Linked DNA regions of Drosophila melanogaster. The protein of the gene in region 1 interacts with the protein of each later gene in a pairwise test. Each region holds a gene or a part of one and is shown in the gene's direction. Other genes may lie near its edges. The genes, in order: spag, Nop56 and Pih1D1.

Region 1 (4,639 bases):
GCGGGTTCCCAGTAGTGTATCAACGTTCGATTCAGCGTAGTGTAAACAAACAGTACAAGTTACGTATTTATCTAATTTAATCTTCCCGTCGCGACGGTAAACTTAAGTGTTTTGTGTTTAGAACGAGCTCAAAATAAAACCTTGTCTTAATAACATAACCGACTGGACAACAACTTAGCCCCTGCTGGCACGGCGGGAGTTCGACTTCCTGTTCTTGCCGGAGCGCTTGGCCTGGCTCCGTTTGGCCTGGGTCTTCTTGGCGTTCAGTTTCCGGTTGCTCCTGGTCCTGGAACTACGGCTGGTGCTGCTGGCGGTGGTGGTGCCCACACGGATCTTCCTCACAATCGAGTACGTCAAGTTGGACAGGTACACTTTCTTGGGCGTGCTGGACGAGCTGTAGGTGGGACTGGTGGAAGTGGAGGAGGAGTTCTGTGAACTGGAGAAGTCCAGGCAGCAGATCACGAGCACCACGATGCACAGGGTGCCGATTTGAATAGTTGACTTCATGTTGGTAGTAGGATTGCTTTTAATATGCTTCGATGGATGCGGCCGGAGTGCTTAAGTAGTCGCCCTGGTTGTTTGCACAGTTTGCTCAATCGCCTACGAAGGCCGACGAAATTGTTTAATTTTGGCAAAACACACTGGCGCTTAAGCAATCGCTCTTGAGTTTGCTTTGCCTTGAACCAAAACAAAATATTCAAAAATAGCTATATGCTTTCACGTTTAATTTGACCAAAGGAAATGGGGAAATGGGATTACTTAGCCGAAGACTGGTTGAAAGGACTCCGCGACATACGGTCCACCATACGACGCACTTGCTCCTCGTTGCCGTACTTCTGGGCATCGGCCACAACGGCGGCATGATGGGAATTAGCCTCTGCTGAGATTTCGTCCTGGATCTGGCGACTCAGTTTAAAGGACGACCTGTTGGGGATGGTGAAAGTTCAGTGTGACTACTTAAATTCTCTGGTTCATAATCATTAACCTGACGGAGGTGAAGCCAAAGAGTGCCCCGACGAAGCCTAGGGCCATCAGAACCACGGCCACCTGCCAGTTGGAGACCCTCTTCAGACCACGGATGCCATAGTACGGTCCTGGATTGGGATCGTAGTTGGGCCTCACATCCCACGCCTGGCCGGGATTGACCGTCTCGCCAACGGGACTGCGGTCCGAGCGCGATGGCTGCCACAGCAGGCTGTCATCGTAGTCTCTCCTCCGCTCCGGCTTTATCAGGGTCTTGTACGCCTCGGAGATCTGAACAAATCGGGCTGTGCGCTCCGGACACGCAGCATTGCTCTTAACATCTGGGTGGTACTGTGGAAAGGGCAGGGTTTAGGAGGCTCCTTTGGAATCTTGGAGTTACTTACCAATTTGGAGAGCTGGACAAAGGCATTACGGACTTCACGGGTGCTGCAATCATTGCGAATATTCAAAACTTCATAGTGTGTTTCGGGTTTTCTTGGTTTGTCGTTCGAGAAACTGCGCAATAGGCAAACATTTACTTTACATAACAAGTTTTATAGACGTAAAGTCCTTACTTACGCACATATCCAGCTCGAGTTGGAAGGCACAACCTTAGCATTGTGAGCTTTATTAGTATTATTTGTGCTGATCTGTCGGAGAAAGCATAATTTTAAACTAGGACTTTCAAAATAAAATCAAAACACAAAACAGCTGATTTGAGGGCCTTACTCTGGCAATCCTGGCTGGCCAGCTACAAAAATAGAGTTGGCAGCTCTGTTCGATGAAACAGCAACTCAGTTGAACTATCGACAGCGAGCAGTGCTGCCAGACTGTCGGAGCGCTAGCAACAGAAATAACAAACATTTAATATTTCTTTAGCCACTTGACAAGGCAAATCAATATGAGTGCACAGGAAAAAGCCTTCGAACTGCAGCGCCAGGTGCGCCAGAACGCGCGGGAGTACGAGAACTCCGTGAAGGACTTGTACTCCTGGGAGCAAGACATTAAAAACAAGGAGAAAGAGCTCCAGAAGTCGCCGCTTTCTGCCGCCAATAAGGTTAGCTTTAAATTCTTTGGTATTAACAAGTAAAGCTCACACTTTCAATGCAGGATCTGCCAGTGCGCAGTCATGTCCAGACAGACAAGTCGCGGAAGGAGAGCCCATCCTCCTCGGCGGCCAGCTCACCCACGGAGAAACAGGACTTGCCAGTGGATCCTGTGGCCCAGCAGTACAAGAAGGCCAACGACATCAAGGACCGTGGAAACACCTATGTCAAGCAGGGGGAGTACGAGAAGGCCATCGTGGCCTACTCCACTGCCATTGCCGTCTATCCCCACGATCCCATTTACCACATTAACCGGGCACTGTGCTACCTAAAACAGGAGAGGTAGGACTGTTTAGAATGTTCTCGATACTTCTTCCTTACATGCATATTTATCCTTGCAGCTTTGATCAATGCGTGGAGGACTGCGAGGCCGCCATTGCGCTGGATAAGCTCTGCGTGAAAGCTTACTACCGGCGAATGCAGGCCAACGAGTCCCTGGGCAACAACATGGAAGCCCTGAAGGATTGCACCACTGTGCTGGCCATCGAGCCGAAGAACATCGAGGCCAAGAGGAGCCTGGCCAGAATCAACGACCGTCTGCGCAAGATTGGTAAATATAATTTTGATTACCTAGTAAGCATATTTTAAGGCTTTTCATTGGCATCCTTACAGCCACCAAAAGTGGGCCAAACTTTACACCCGATCGTCCTGGCATGATTGAGATCTTGCCAATCGAGAAGCCTGCTTATAAACGCTCCAAGAAGGCAATGCGCAGTGTTCCCGTTGTAGACGTGGTATCTCCTCGTGCTACCATCGATGATAGCAACCAACTACGCATTTCGGATGAGGACATAGATAAGATATTTAATAGTAACTGCGGCATAATCGAAGAGGTCAAAAAAACAAATCCAAAGCCGACGCCAATGCCAGACACATCAGGTCCACCCAAAGCTGAGACCATTGCTAAGACCTCCAAAGAAGTCAAGCCTACCAAACAGACTGCGGTTAAAGTAGCTCCAGCTGTGGAAACCCCCAAAGAAACAGAAACACGCAAGGATACCAAGATTGTGCCTGAATCCGATAATGAGGCCAAGCCAAGTGCACCCAAAAAAACGGCTGTCGAGGTCCCCAAGGTTCAGACTCAAGTTTCTCCACCAAAGACCACAATAGAACGCAGCCCAGAAGTCAATACCGTGCAAACTGAAAAAATTGAACAAGCTTCGAGCAACAACGCAATGTCACCCAGTCCAATAGAGGTAGGTTCGCTTAAGATCAAAGCTGAATTATTATTAAACCAATTCTCTATGATTTAGCGCTTCTTACCGCCCGCACCCACGAGCACAGCACAGTTCCATGTGACCTGGAAGGAGCTGAGTGGTCCGCAGAAGTACCAATACCTAAAGTCCATTGAAGTCCCGAATCTGTGTAAGATCCTGGGAGCAGGCTTCGATTCGGACACGTTTGCCGACCTGCTGCGCACCATCCACGACTTCTTTGTACCAAATAAGGAGCCAAACACAGCAGCTGTCTTGCTGGAGATCAGCAAAAATGACGAATTCACCATTTTGGCCATGCTCATGTCCGCAGAGGAGAAGAAAAGTAGGTGACAAAACTTTTCTTGCATAATTTCGTTTGCATTTCATGTACTTTCCCCTTTTCACAGTGGTTTCGTCTATCCTCAACGCCATCAAGAACTGGCCCAGCAAGAATCCGGCTGTGCTGGACAACCTTTTCAAGGAATACGGAGTAGCCTAAACACCCAATGTTTTATGTTAAAATGTACTTATGTTGCTTCAAATTGTTAGCTCCAAAATCAACTAAAACAACAAAAATGTTTAAAATATAAAGAGGATTTGTAGATAGGATCCCAAAACGTTACACAGAATGCGAATGATTGAATGTGTTTTGTTCAGCGTTTATTAGATACGCTAAGATGCTCACTAGTTACACATGCTGGGAATATCTCAAAGTGACTCATGTTTTTTAGCCTAGTATAAGCCGAAAATTCCATATGCAGAAGACCATTTGAGCAAACAAACCGTTCTTGCCCGACCAGACCATGAATATTGAATAACCAATTGAGTAATACGAATTAGTGTAATTTACATAAATCAGCGCATTAATTCAATCTGCGAAGCCACCTAAAATGGGCCTTCCAGCAAGAACAACAACTCCATTAAGCGACGTTAAGTTGGAAGCGCTGATGATCAGTCGGCTTATCCGATCCGTGCACATATCATTACAGCGAAACCACAGCCAGGAGCACCAGGAGGGGCCCCCAAAGCAGGAGGGGCATCTCGCCGAGAACCGCGCACCACCGAGGCACCCGGGCGGCCCACTAATTGCGTGAGAGCTGGTGCACTAAGCACAGGGGCCGGGTTTTACTTTAGCCCATTGTGCCGCCGCTAGTTATAATTTAATTTACATTTTTCTTAACCAACGCTGGCTGCGATTTATCAATTTCTCGCCGCGAGAGAATTCGCGAGAGCGGCTTCCTCCAGGGTTGCCGCTCCATTTGGCGCCCGGGGAGCTGCAAGTCGAGCTGGATCCGATCTGGATGTACTGCTTTAATGTCTTCACCAGCTAAAAATGTTTCTATAAAATGTTTATATGCTTGTATAGAAAATCAA
Region 2 (4,720 bases), on another chromosome or scaffold:
GTATAAAACGTATCAAAAATGTTTATCAAGTCTACAATTATTATCAGTTATTGGGTGCTGCCGACCGTCGCCTCAAATTGCTGGGGTTTGCATTACAAAATCGCTTGATCCGCTGAACCGCGAGCAATTAGCGATAGTTTAATAGTAATAAATACATAGAATACATACAGAAAGAAAAACGATAAACAAGGAAACACGCATAGTTTGTGAACGTAATATTTGTTGTTTCTCGAAAGCGGGAGGTGTTAGTTATAAAAGGCGTGCTGTTGCTTTTGCTGCTTTTGTTTTCTCCTTTACATATACATATAAATATGATTTATACGTTTTTACGTTTCACATATAAAAATATAGTAGTTGCTCTGGATCAGCAATTAGCCCGCTATAGTTCGGTTCACATTGCCAATTGGCGGTTTTTTGTTTTCTTTTGTTTAGTGGGAGGCACCCCATGAAGCAATGAACGAAACATAAAAGTATTGGCGGTAACTAACTAAAGCGTAATACACGAGTCTGCCAGAGCGCTTTCATCACAAGTCCAACTGCAAGCGCAGACCACCACCACCGCCGCCGGAATCGCGAAAATTCGCGGCTCCATGCAGTGATTCCTATATCTGCCGCTCATCCTTAGCCGTCAGCTTGTCGATGAGCTCCTGCAGCGGGGCCAGTTCGCGCCGCTCAATCAGATTGAACTCCTGCACGAAGAAGATGAAGTGCTTGAAGGACGTGTTGAGATGGGCCTCCTCGCCAAGCGTCACCACCTCTGTGAAGTGCTGGTGGTAGATGTGCGCATACACGCGGAACAGACGCTTCAGTATGGTCTTGGCGGAGGAGTGAAAGTTCTTTGGAAACGGCACGCCGATCTTGGAGGGAAACAGGGTCTCGTCGTCCAGCTGATCCTGCACCCAAGTCATCAGATAGTCAATATACTTGGGCGCGCTGCACTTGATGGGCTTCTTTACGGTCAAACCGTCGGCCCAGTGGTACTCGTATTTCGGACCAGCCGACATGATGCCACAGGTCTCCTCGGTGCAGAACTCGGTGATGGTGCCGTACAGCATGTTGATCTGGTTGAAAAAGTCCACGGCTGCGAAGGAGTGGCAATAAGAATTGGTTATCTTTCGCTAGTTACACTATACTAGACTCACTGTTAACGGCCACCCACTCGTTGAGATCCTCGCCATCTGGAAGGGCCACTGCATTGCGCAGGTTTCCCGATCCCAGCGTGGCTGCCGCATGCTTCATGAGATCATATTGGTGTGTGCCTTCCGGGATGTTCTTCTTGGGCTTGAAGGTCTTGCTGGAACGGGAACCGCTGTGGAAAGAGAAAGGCAATAAGTCGCGGCCCCAAACAGCCCCACTCAGTAAAACATAATACAGTAAAGATTCTATAGATTGAAACGTAAGCGACTTCGTTCAATTTACACTCCCTAAAAGAAATATTTCCTTTTTTTTTCTTTTTTTAAATTCACTGAGGAAGAATGCAAGATATCTTTGAAAAGCTATTTTTTAAACACCGCAGACAAAATTAGGGAAGTTCCACTGTACAAGAGGTTGGGGATATCACCCCAAAAAGGGCAAACAAAGCCGGAAAGTCAGATGTGGGGCGGGGTGATCCAAGCTTTCTTTGTGCTCGAAAGGATTGCAGTTGCACTACGTTTTGCCCCCCTGAGAACTTACAACAAGAAGTCCATGGCATGCAATTGCTGTGCTTCGCCTTTCACTGAGCCTCCAATGGAATTTTCCTATGCGTAGACTTTTCCGGCGAGTGCCACACCGCTTTTTCGGCTCTTCTGTGTCGTGTCAGCAGCTTTATTCCGCCGATTTTTACACAATTAGCGCCGAATAATAATTAAAGAAAAGTGACTGGAATTCGCAGCAGGTTTCTTTCTCTGGTCAATTGGGAAATGACAATGATGGTATCTGTATCTGGCCTCCAGTTGGTCGGTCTGTTAACTAGTGCCGTAGCCCAACAGCTGATGCGAGCGGTTCCAGGAAGTGTGCCGAGCCAACTAGTTAATTCTGTTGTGTTTATAAACGCAAAAAATTTGTTATAAATAAAAATAAAATTGCTTTCACACACAGAGACAGTTGATGAAAGTGCGAGAGGGACAACGCGACAGGTTATCAGGCTATCAACGTGGCCAGCCTGTTAAAATAATTCAGTACGGTACTGCGGTATTTTATCTGGTATGTCCCTAACATTTCGCAATCGGCTTGCTATGGTCACACTTGAAGTAAGCACGTGGGAAAACAACTGTAGCAGCATCGTGGGTGTATAAAAATATATATTTCTTAATTAAATCGGCATATATTCGGCATAGACATGGTAAATATTTCAGTGCAATAATCATATATTTGAATTTTCTGCGGGTTGCCCGTGAAATGAAAATGTTTTCCCTGCGAAAACTAACCTACACACGCGGAGCACCCAAAACCACATGTGTCTGCCACCGCATCAGACTGATAATTTTTCATTTCCCCGCCTCCAGTCGAACCTGTATGTGCTGTACGAGCATGCGGCGGGCTTCTCGCTCTTCTCCGTCAAGGAGTTCGAAGAGGTGTCCATGTTCCTGCCCCAGGTGGAGTCCTCGGTGACGGACCTCGCCAAGTTCAACTCAATTGTTAAGCTGGCTGGATTTGCACCTTTCAAGACGGCCATTGCCGCACTGGAAAACATCAATGCCATATCCGAGGGCATAGTGCCGCAGGATCTGCTCTCCTTCTTGGATGACTTCTTTGCCAAGCTGAAGAAGAAGAAGTGCACCCTGGGTATTGCGGATGCCAAGCTGGGAGCTGCAATCACCGAGGCCATTGGCGTCCAGTGCAGTCACTTTGGAGTGGTTCCTGAGATTCTGCGCGGCGTGCGATTCCACTTCGCTAAGCTGGTCAAGGGTAAGCTACCTGCTTTGCAAGGAAAATCCTCTTTGTCTAACTAAAGCCTCCTCCATCCGATGCAGGATTCACCGACAAGTCCGCTGGCGTTGCTCAGCTGGGTCTGGGCCACAGCTACTCGCGTGCCAAGGTCAAGTTCAATGTTCATCGTTCCGACAACATGATCATCCAGTCGATTGCTTTGCTGGATCAGTTGGATAAGGACGTAAATACCTTCTCTATGCGGATACGCGAGTGGTACTCGTATCACTTCCCAGAACTGGTCAAAATCGTTCCCGACAATTACATGTTCGCCAAGGCGGCCAAGTTCATCAAGGATCGCAAGAACCTCACGCAAGACCAGCTGGAGGATCTTGAGAAGATCGTCATGGACTCCGCCAAGGCTCAGGCTATCATTGATGCCGCCAAGATGTCCATGGGCATGGACATCTCCATTGTTGATCTGATGAACATTGAGCTGTTCGCAGAGCGCGTTGTCAAGCTTTCCGAGTACCGAAAGAAACTGTCTACCTACTTGCACAACAAGATGAACTTGGTGGCACCCAATCTGCAGTCTTTGATTGGCGACCAGGTCGGTGCCCGCCTGATATCGCATGCCGGCAGCTTGACTAATCTGGCCAAGTACCCAGCATCTACAGTACAAATCCTGGGTGCCGAGAAGGCGCTCTTCCGTGCTCTAAAGACCCGCTCCAATACGCCCAAGTATGGTCTTATCTATCACTCCTCGTTCATTGGTCGAGCTGGCCTGAAGAACAAGGGTCGCATCTCTCGATTCCTGGCCAACAAGTGCTCCATCGCGTCGCGTATCGATTGCTTCCTGGAACAGCCGACTAGCGTGTTTGGCGAAACTCTTAAGCAACAGGTCGAAGATCGCCTCAAGTTCTACGAGTCCGGCGATGTGCCGCGCAAGAACATTGAGGTAATGAAGGAGGCCATCGAGGCAGCTGGTCAAGAGGCGGCAATCACTGTACAGTCCGAGAAAAAGAAGAAAAAGAAGAAGCGAGCGGCTGAAGACGAGGGCGAGACGAATGGCGCCAGTAATGGAAACGGAGCAGCCGCCGAGGCGGAAAATGGCAATGGCAACGATGATGGAGAGCCAAAGAAGAAGAAGAAAAAGAAGAACAAAAACAAGGAAGCGGTGGAGGCGTAAATGTCTCTGTTACATTCAACTTAGTTTAAGTCCACACTATTATCTTTTACTTACATGCTTCTTTTGTATTTCCTTTGACCCCCTGATGGATCGCATTTCAAATAATAATAAACATATACTTTGGAGGGTATTCCCACCGGAATTTTATGAGTTTGCGTTTTAAATCAAGAGACTATCATAATTATTGGTTTCAATTGTTTTATATTTCATATTTGCTTTACATTCAATTTATATACAGACACATCGTAACGTTAACTATTGCTAAAATTGTTTGATTTTATTACGTGTAGTATTTTGTTTAACAATTTCAATGTTGGATCGCTCAGCCGTCCGTCCGCGCGTTGTGCTAACGAATCCGTTTAGTACAACCATTATTCAACTACTCTGTGTATTGCATTTGATGACGACTTTCAAATTCCGAGTGGACGATCAGGACGGATGTGGAATTAATGGGTTTGATCCGGAAAATTGCATCGGGGGTAAATTGTTTAACAACGAATTTAGAAACAAATTGCACGTGTCGCAAACTTTGTACAGCAAGGGGAAAGGAAAACGTAAATAATATATAGAACTGACAAGTTTAGCGATCGTGGAAATGTGAATGTGAGAGTGGACATTTTGGGTAGTAGGTTGGTTGGGTTAAATTAGGCTAAAAAATATCATTGAAACAAGTCGAATGCC
Region 3 (7,940 bases), on another chromosome or scaffold:
CCCACAATGAACATTCGGTGGAAATATTGCCCCAGAATAAAGGTCTGTGCAGCGGCCAAAACGAAAAGCAGGACAGCGTATAAGATACCCTTCCATTCGGGCTCGGCATCTTGGGCCTCGACGAAGCTGATGATCAAACTCAGGACTTGGGGCTGGGCAAATGTCAGGGTGTCGGTGAACAGCTTCATTAGGGCGCCGAACAGAAAGACGCCTCCGAAGGACTTGTAAATTGGCGGCATAATACTGGCCATGCCCTTCTTGCGGCCATTCTTCTCACCGTGGGGATTCTCAAAGGTCACGTTGCCATTGCTAAACTGCGCCTTGGGTTCTACGCGCGCCTTGTTCTTGTAGTTCTTGCGCACGTTCTGGTTCCAGTGGTGGGCGAAGATGGGCATGACCTCGGAGCAGCTGTCCTGCGGCCTCAGGTCCCACAGATCCTTCTCCTCCAGCGGGTTGCGATAGCCCTTGAGGGCCATTTTGTCGAACCACTGATAGGTGATGCGGGAAAGGAAACTGGCTGACAGTTCGGGAATCTCGTTCTCACCCCTCTGGTACTTGGTTTGTCTGGGCATTCCGTCCGCGAAGCAGTTCAGGATCAGCATAATGCTGGTGAAGGTGAAGAAGATAAAGAAGCTAACGAACTGATACTCCTCCCAGGAAAAGTCCTGCTCGGATGGCTGTTGCGAATTCAGAATCTTCTGGCGCTCCGCGTCCAGTCGAACTTCAGTGCGGCAGCGGGGAATCGACAGCACAGTGAGCAGGAACCAGAAGATGAACTGACATCCCGTGGTCTGCACGCCATACTTTCGATTCAGCGGGATGAATATGAAGAGCAACAGGAAGGTGGCGAACTTGATGATGGGACCCCAAACATCCAGGTCGTAGAGCGGCAGCTCAGAGTCGCCGCCCTTCTTGACCAGCGCCATAATTAGGTCCAGGGCAGTGATTACCAGCAGACCCAGATTCACCAGAGCTTTGCTCACGTTCAGCTTGTTCCACGGTATATTCCTGTCCAAACTCGCCTTCAGGTAGTAAAAGTCAAAGATCACGAACGCCCAGTAGAAGGCGCAGGGTGTCCAGACCAGCGCCGTTTGCTCAAAGCAGGGCGTAAAGTCCGGATCGTTGGTATACCATGTCTCTGTTGCGTTCTGTTCGTTGGACACACGGAAACCATACATTTACACTATGCATTCGGATTGAACACCACTGCTGATGCACTCACCCAGAACGTGGATCCGCAGAATCTGTCCATCGGCGAACTAGTGTCATCCGCCATGGTTACTCGACTGCTCGGCAACCTCCTCCACGTGCAATTGGGCTATATGCGTATGCTATATCGGGCGATGTGGTAACTGTAAAGCGGCAAGGAAATAAACGGATCTATATTTTCGGGCCAACAGCTGTTCCTTCCCAAGCCGCACAACTACAACAACCGCTAATCGTGACAGTGGGAAGTTGATTGCTAGTATTTTTCTGGTATTTCGCGGGCACAGTGGGTGTCGGATGGAAAATGAGTGTATAATTCTGCACTGCGTGTTATTTTAATTGTTTATATTGATTTAAGTGAAACTTGTAATTTTTGTACATAAATTATTAAAATACATTTGCTTGGAAAACTTAGTAGAAGCAAGTAGAAATCAATTGCATTTGCAACAGCAAAAATACAAATGAATTTCTTAAATTTGGATTAAGCTTTTAAAGTTTCATATAGAAATTCATAGCAATTATTCTCGAAAATTCTTGTCATTTACTTTTTATTAATGAGCACCCTGTACAGGGAAAACGCCTATCTAGTATTTTTAGCCTATCGCATGGCATTAAATGTTTTTCCACCGGCGTTCACACTGTCACATTAGTTTTCATTTCAATCGAGTTGACAGCTCCATTCTGGCAAATAAAATTTGCGTTTTTCGCTCGTCGCTCAGCGCAAAAATAGCATTTGCATTGGATTAACTCGTAACTGGCAATTGAAATCGTGCAGCAAAATGTCGCGTCGTTCCAATTTCATTGAGGGCAACGACAATTTTCGCGACCAGAACCTGCGCTTTGTGCGGGTAAGCAAAACTTGAGAAATTCGATGTGAGGAACTATCTGCGCCACTAAAGATGAACTTGTTTTTTTTTTTTTTCATTTTCTAAATGCAGAACGAGTTTGAGGACAATATTAACCAGTACTTTGGAGGCGCCGATCCGGAGGGCAGCGGCCCGCAGCAGAAACCGCCGCCGCGAGACTCGCTGATTGTCCAGCCGACCGCAGGTAAGTGGCGTCCATTGCAACAGCCGGAGCTTCACATGGCACAGCAATCGCTGCCGGTGGCGCGGAGAATCTAACCGGAGATTACAGCCAGCTAGTAGTAGGCATGACTCTGGGTTTATGGTCTACTTAGCACTTGTGTGTGCACAGTAATCTCTGCGAGCGCGGAACCATGTCAACCTGATAAACATCTCACGTCGACGTCGATTGCGCGTAATCGCTCGGGGTGGTACAGTGAACCCGCGATAAGGCGAACAAACGCACGCGAATGGAACACGTCATAGGACAGAAAAACCCATCCTAACGAATCTTCGACAAGACTTTAAAAACCAATTACGAATATTGAAAACATATCCGAATTACTTGTATTTAAAATTGAATCAATTGCTCTAAATTTTTTAATTAATTCCGTAAGTTAACTATAGTTTGTGCACACTTTTTGTATATTCAAATTTCCAATCTTTTAATGGTTATTAATTAGTATTTTGCACTTAACTATTGGATAATTCGTCAAAACAAAGGCAAAAAATCAATTATCCAAACAAATCAGTTTAATTCCTATGCACACTATTATTTGACAAACTATCTATCGTATTGAAACAAAAAGAGGGTTGAGCGGGTAGTTAGTACGAAGTTTTGTAATCTAGCCGTCGTTATTGTGCGCTACGGCAGTTAAGTGTTTACATGTCCAGGGCCACTTGGAGGAAGGTCTAATCGCGCCCACTTGAAACGATAGTTTATAGTCCAGCGAGATTGTACAATGCCAATGACAAATGAGCGACTAAAACGTGTTTCCCCGCCTCGAAGAAGAACTAATTTACACAGAGATACACACAACTAAAAAGAAGGAATGAGAAACTTTAAGCGAATCTTGAACGGAGCTCATAAAAGGTATTGGGCTAGTCACATTTTATGGGCGCCAAAAACTTGTTTGCCCCGTACACGCATGTGTTTTAAGCCATTTGACTTTAGATAAAATTCTAACACATCTGAAACGAGTATTTTCAGTTCGATATAATTAACGGCGAAACCTGTTCCCGCAGCGATTATATAAGCACAAAACAATCGGCAGAAAAAACCCCCTTACAAAACCTAATATTTCAATTGTACGAAATGTGTGTGTTTTGCCTTTACACCCAAGTGAAATTTCTCTTTAAAAACAAAAACGTCGACTCACGATGAGATGCTAAGCAAAATGGCATGGAGATCTCTTGGCTGCACCATAAAATCAAGGAGAAAACCTGACAATTTTCTCAGCAAAAAACGCCACTCTCTTCACAACCTGACTGACACACACGGTTTGTTTGTTCTGGATCAGATCATGCCAGCCGGCACAAATTGTTTACACCGCCAAAGAAGAGTGATTTATTTACAGAATATCAACGACACTCGACACTTGATGACTTTTATTAATAGGGAAAAAGCTGAGATAAGGCTGACTGGCTGCATTTAGCCAAGTGTGCAAACTCTGGAGAAAACAACTTCCACATAGCGAGAATGATTATACGAGCAGCTCCTTATCGGGGACCCCACAGCTGAACCTTATCGTGTGTGCTGCCTGTTGCTGTCCCCCTACTAGACTCTTCCATTGTGTTTGTCGTTGCTCCAGTTATGAATTGCACATCGTAAACCCTATATTGCTCCTAATCGCACACTTGTTTGCTCCACTTGCTGCTGATTCTGAGTCCTTGGAGCTTGATTACCATCGGACTGGGCGAGAAGCTGTCGAACCCACAGATCGTAGGCCATCTTTCAAGGCCTGTGACGTCAGTGGAACCCACGAGGCAATTAACTTCAAATTTGTTCGTACGAACAGCAGTACGACAACCTTGCGCACCACAATTTTTACACTTTTTCTGTTATCAATTAAATAATCGAGCTGCGAGCATGACAAAACACTTAACCATATCAAACTACTTTGAATGTGAATCATCGATTTCTCGTCAGTTCTTTTTTTTTTTTTTCGTATTTCTTTCGTTTGCTGAGAAATGTTTGCGCGGGATATTCTGGAGCCTTTCGGAAATTTCACAATTTCAGGCAAAGAATGTGGACACACAGAGATAGATACACAACACATAGATACGAACGCACACTGGCACACTTGTTCCGCTTTGGCGGAATCCAACAACCACATATCAACAAGGGTATCAAAAATGGACGGCGGTGGTTGTTGTTGGCGGTATCGATGCGACTGAAATGTCACTTATAATTACCTCTACGTAGAAAAAAACTCGCTGCGATTCAAACGAATCGGTTGTGGGGGATCGGAGTGAATAGAATCGAATCGAAACAAAACGAGCCGTAGCGGTTGAGGTCGGATCGCTATTTGGATTTGGATGGAGGGCAGCGTCGGCGGAGCACTTCAAAATCGACGGACAACCGGCTCGTTACGAGCAAAAAGGCAAACTGAATTCGAAGCGAGCGCTGCGAACAAACTTATTTGTTTTCCGCGCTTTCCGTGCTCAAAAAAAAAACAACAAAAATGAGATAATAGCGCCACCTCGGAGAGCGTTTAACTTGGCTCTTTTTGTGGCGCTGACTGCCTGGTGGCCGCCCGATCAATTAAAACCCCCTGCCATCAAAGCACCCGACTCTCCAATAATGCCAAGTTTGTCCAGAATAAAACCCAGCTGAAAGATACCGACTCTCTTTCCTGATTTTAAGTGCCGATTTAAACATATTTTCCTGCTCTGGTGAAATTATTCTGAACCGAAATGGACACACGACGCGACTCTTAAACGTTTTGTTGTCGCAAGAGCAACAAAAGTGGGCCGAAATGATAACGATATCAACAGTAGTCATACAATTAAGAGCATTTAATGGGTGTTTGGTTGCGAATTCTTCACGATTTTGGTATAAGCATGACCATACCTATTGATTATCAGTTTATTGTGTGTTTGATGCCATAAATGTATAATTACTGAGTAGTTTCTTAACAACTACAACTACAGGATTTGCTGCTATGCATTTCGAAAGTACACACCAATAGAATAGAATTCTGTGATAGAATTTCTAATCTAATCAATTTAGATGTTTAATTTAAAATATGAGATAGTGGCAGTGCTTAGTGTTTATAGATTGACAAAAAATCAAACATCAAACTTAGTCAGCATTTTGATAACGACTGAAAAGGCAATCAAGTAGTAATGCAATTGAAATTATCATTTTTTTTTGTGTTGTACAATTTGTTAAAGCAATTAAAGGGTGGGAAGAAATGCAAAACAAAGCAAATCTATTATAGATTTAAACTAAAATTTGTATGCATATTTTCAGTGAGCATTGTCGTCATGAGTAGATTAGATTGGAATTGGTTTGCTAAACGTGACCACATAGCTCTAACCTAAAACGTGTCTGCTTTTTTAAATTTTAAATTTCATATGTGGTACCATGAAAATAGCCAACAGCGAGCTGGACAATCGGCGCCAATTTCTCCGTGACCTGGGCGCCAGTCGGGTGTTGGCCAACGCCTTGGCGCAGCGCACCTTCAATGTGCCCAAGTTCAACCTGCGCCATTTCCAGCGCCAGAGGTTCCGCCTCAGCGTCGAGCTGGGCGACAGTCACCAGGATGTGGTGGACAAGGAGGTGCTCCAAGCCATCGAGGAAGCGGTGGCTAGCCACGACGACGTCGAGTCGCGGCCACGCACTCCGTCGCCGCCGCGGAACATTGATTGGCACAGCGCCAGGATGAATAACTCACCGGCTAATAAGGATCGATCGCGTTCTAGGAATCGTCAGAGAGAGGAAAATTTCCCAAACAACAATCGCGGAGTTGTGGAACAACGGGAGCCAATCAATAGGAATTGTGGACCCGTAAATCGCAATAATCCTGGCATGAATCCTGCTGAGTTCAATCGCAATCGTTATGCAAATGCGCAGGACTTTAATCGAAATAATCGAAATATGGACAGAAGTGAATTCAATCAAAATAATCGCAATTTCAACCGAAATGAGGGTTCACGTCCCAATCCACAGGATTTCAATCGTCCCAATAGAAATCAAAATCCACAGGATTTCAATCGTCCCAATAGAAACCAAAATCCACAGGATTTCAATCGTTCCAATAGAAATCAAAATCCACAGGATTTCAATCGATCTAATAGAAATCAAAACCCCCAGGATTTCAATCGTCCCAATAGAAATCAAAATCCACAGGATTTCAATCGCAATAATCGTAATGCCTATCCGCATGAATTCAATCGTAATATCCGAAATGATAACGAGCAGGAATTTAATCACAATCGTAATGCAGTCAATGATGAATTCAATCGCAATACTCGTAATGTTAACAACCAAGCATTCCCTCAAGGACATAACCATAACAATCGTAATGCGAATGCACAATTCAATCGCAAAACTTTTGACGAGAACCCAAACTTTAATAACCAACGTTTTCAAGGACCAAATCACCAGATCAACTATCGTGTTCAGATGCCAAACAATGATCATTCCCAAGTAAACAACAATCGCAGGCCTGGTAATCAGAACTTCGTTTCGAATCAGCAACCCAACTTGGATCGTAATGCTATAAGCGATGACGGCATTCAGCTGCCAAGAGATCGATTCCGTTCGCCTGAAGCGCATCCAAAACAACCACCATATCCACGTAATGTGAACGCTGACCAGGTTGGAAACCGTGGACCCCAAAAGAGGCACAATTATCAGCGTATTGTGAATGACAATCAAATAATACTACGTCGCACCGACTGGACTGACGAAGAAGAGGATCTAGATCTAGAACACCATGATATAGACGACTATATACCCGATGAACGCGAATTTCTTGAAGATGATGCCGATTTCATCGATGACACAAATGATACACTTATGAATGATGATCAGTATGAGGGTTACCACTCAAGGGGTAATCAACACTACATCCAAGATCATAACATCGATGATCGTAATTCATATGGACGCAATCGCAACGATCGTAACTTTGAGGGCATTAGGCGCCAGTTTGATCCAGAACTCGATCGACGCAACTTAAACGACAACTTCAATCAGCGAAACAACTATTCGCGTGGCGGTGACACCGTACGCTTTCCCCGAAGGGAGGATGACACATTCCAAGGCTCAAATAACCCTAATTTTCCACCGAACTATCCAAACACTATTCTCCGTGGATCGGGTTCTGGAAATCGTTGCCGCGATACGAGCTCTAACAGACCCATGGGTCCCAATCAAAACAGACGAAGCCGCCTACCAAATGCTGATGAAGCTGCTCCAAGTGTGGCCCATTCTGGGGGTCCCATACAAGATGGAACTAATTTAAATCGTAGAATCAATAAAAATTTAAATCCTGGCAAGGGGCCAGATCGCATCAATGCTGGGACTCCTAATCAACCCAGATCCAAGTCAACCACATCTCAAACTCGAAATCTAAATCCTGATATTCCAAACAAAATGGTCAAGAAGTCGGCGGTTCCACAAGACAATCGTGCACCGCAACCAAACAAACCTATGAACACCAATCCTGGTGCATCCAAACCTGGTCAGTCGGTAATCAAACCGAAACTACAGGCAACCAAGATCAACGCGGCCATGGCGAAACCGCTCGCTGGTAAGGGATAAACTTTTGAATTCTTAATAAATTAAAAATTTGATACAAACCAATTACAAGCTAGCTTATAGAGCTTTTGTATTGGTTTTAAAGTGTATAAATGATTTTAAAGCCACATTTGGAATGC

Evidence for each region.
Region 2: the proteins of spag (region 1) and Nop56 interact in a two-hybrid assay, tested with the Drosophila melanogaster proteins (one study listed by BioGRID).
Region 3: the proteins of spag (region 1) and Pih1D1 interact in a two-hybrid assay, tested with the Drosophila melanogaster proteins (2 studies listed by BioGRID).

Annotation. Positions count from the first base shown.
Region 1 is NT_033778.4:24,157,607-24,162,245, forward strand, and holds spag (spaghetti), read left to right. Parts: upstream 1-1,777; 5' UTR 1,778-1,864; coding exon 1,865-2,020; intron 2,021-2,073; coding exon 2,074-2,351; intron 2,352-2,410; coding exon 2,411-2,619; intron 2,620-2,681; coding exon 2,682-3,265; intron 3,266-3,322; coding exon 3,323-3,608; intron 3,609-3,672; coding exon 3,673-3,764; 3' UTR 3,765-3,897; downstream 3,898-4,639. Other genes in the region: CG42568 (uncharacterized protein), read right to left, coding at 175-507; DnaJ-60 (DnaJ-like-60), read right to left, coding at 756-924, 986-1,314, 1,368-1,479, 1,539-1,582.
Region 2 is NT_033777.3:22,418,557-22,423,276, reverse strand, and holds Nop56 (Nop56), read left to right. Parts: upstream 1-2,208; 5' UTR 2,209-2,320; coding exon 2,321-2,323; intron 2,324-2,486; coding exon 2,487-2,889; intron 2,890-2,954; coding exon 2,955-4,039; 3' UTR 4,040-4,182; downstream 4,183-4,720. Other genes in the region: mats (mob as tumor suppressor), read right to left, coding at 603-1,081, 1,143-1,309, 1,675-1,688.
Region 3 is NT_033779.5:12,715,767-12,723,706, reverse strand, and holds the start of Pih1D1 (PIH1 domain containing 1), read left to right. Parts: upstream 1-1,863; 5' UTR 1,864-1,985; coding exon 1,986-2,054; intron 2,055-2,144; coding exon 2,145-2,256; intron 2,257-4,466; exon of another isoform or gene 4,467-4,662; intron 4,663-5,650; coding exon 5,651-7,813; intron 7,814-7,940. Other genes in the region: MRP (Multidrug-Resistance like protein 1), read right to left, coding at 1-1,148, 1,223-1,276.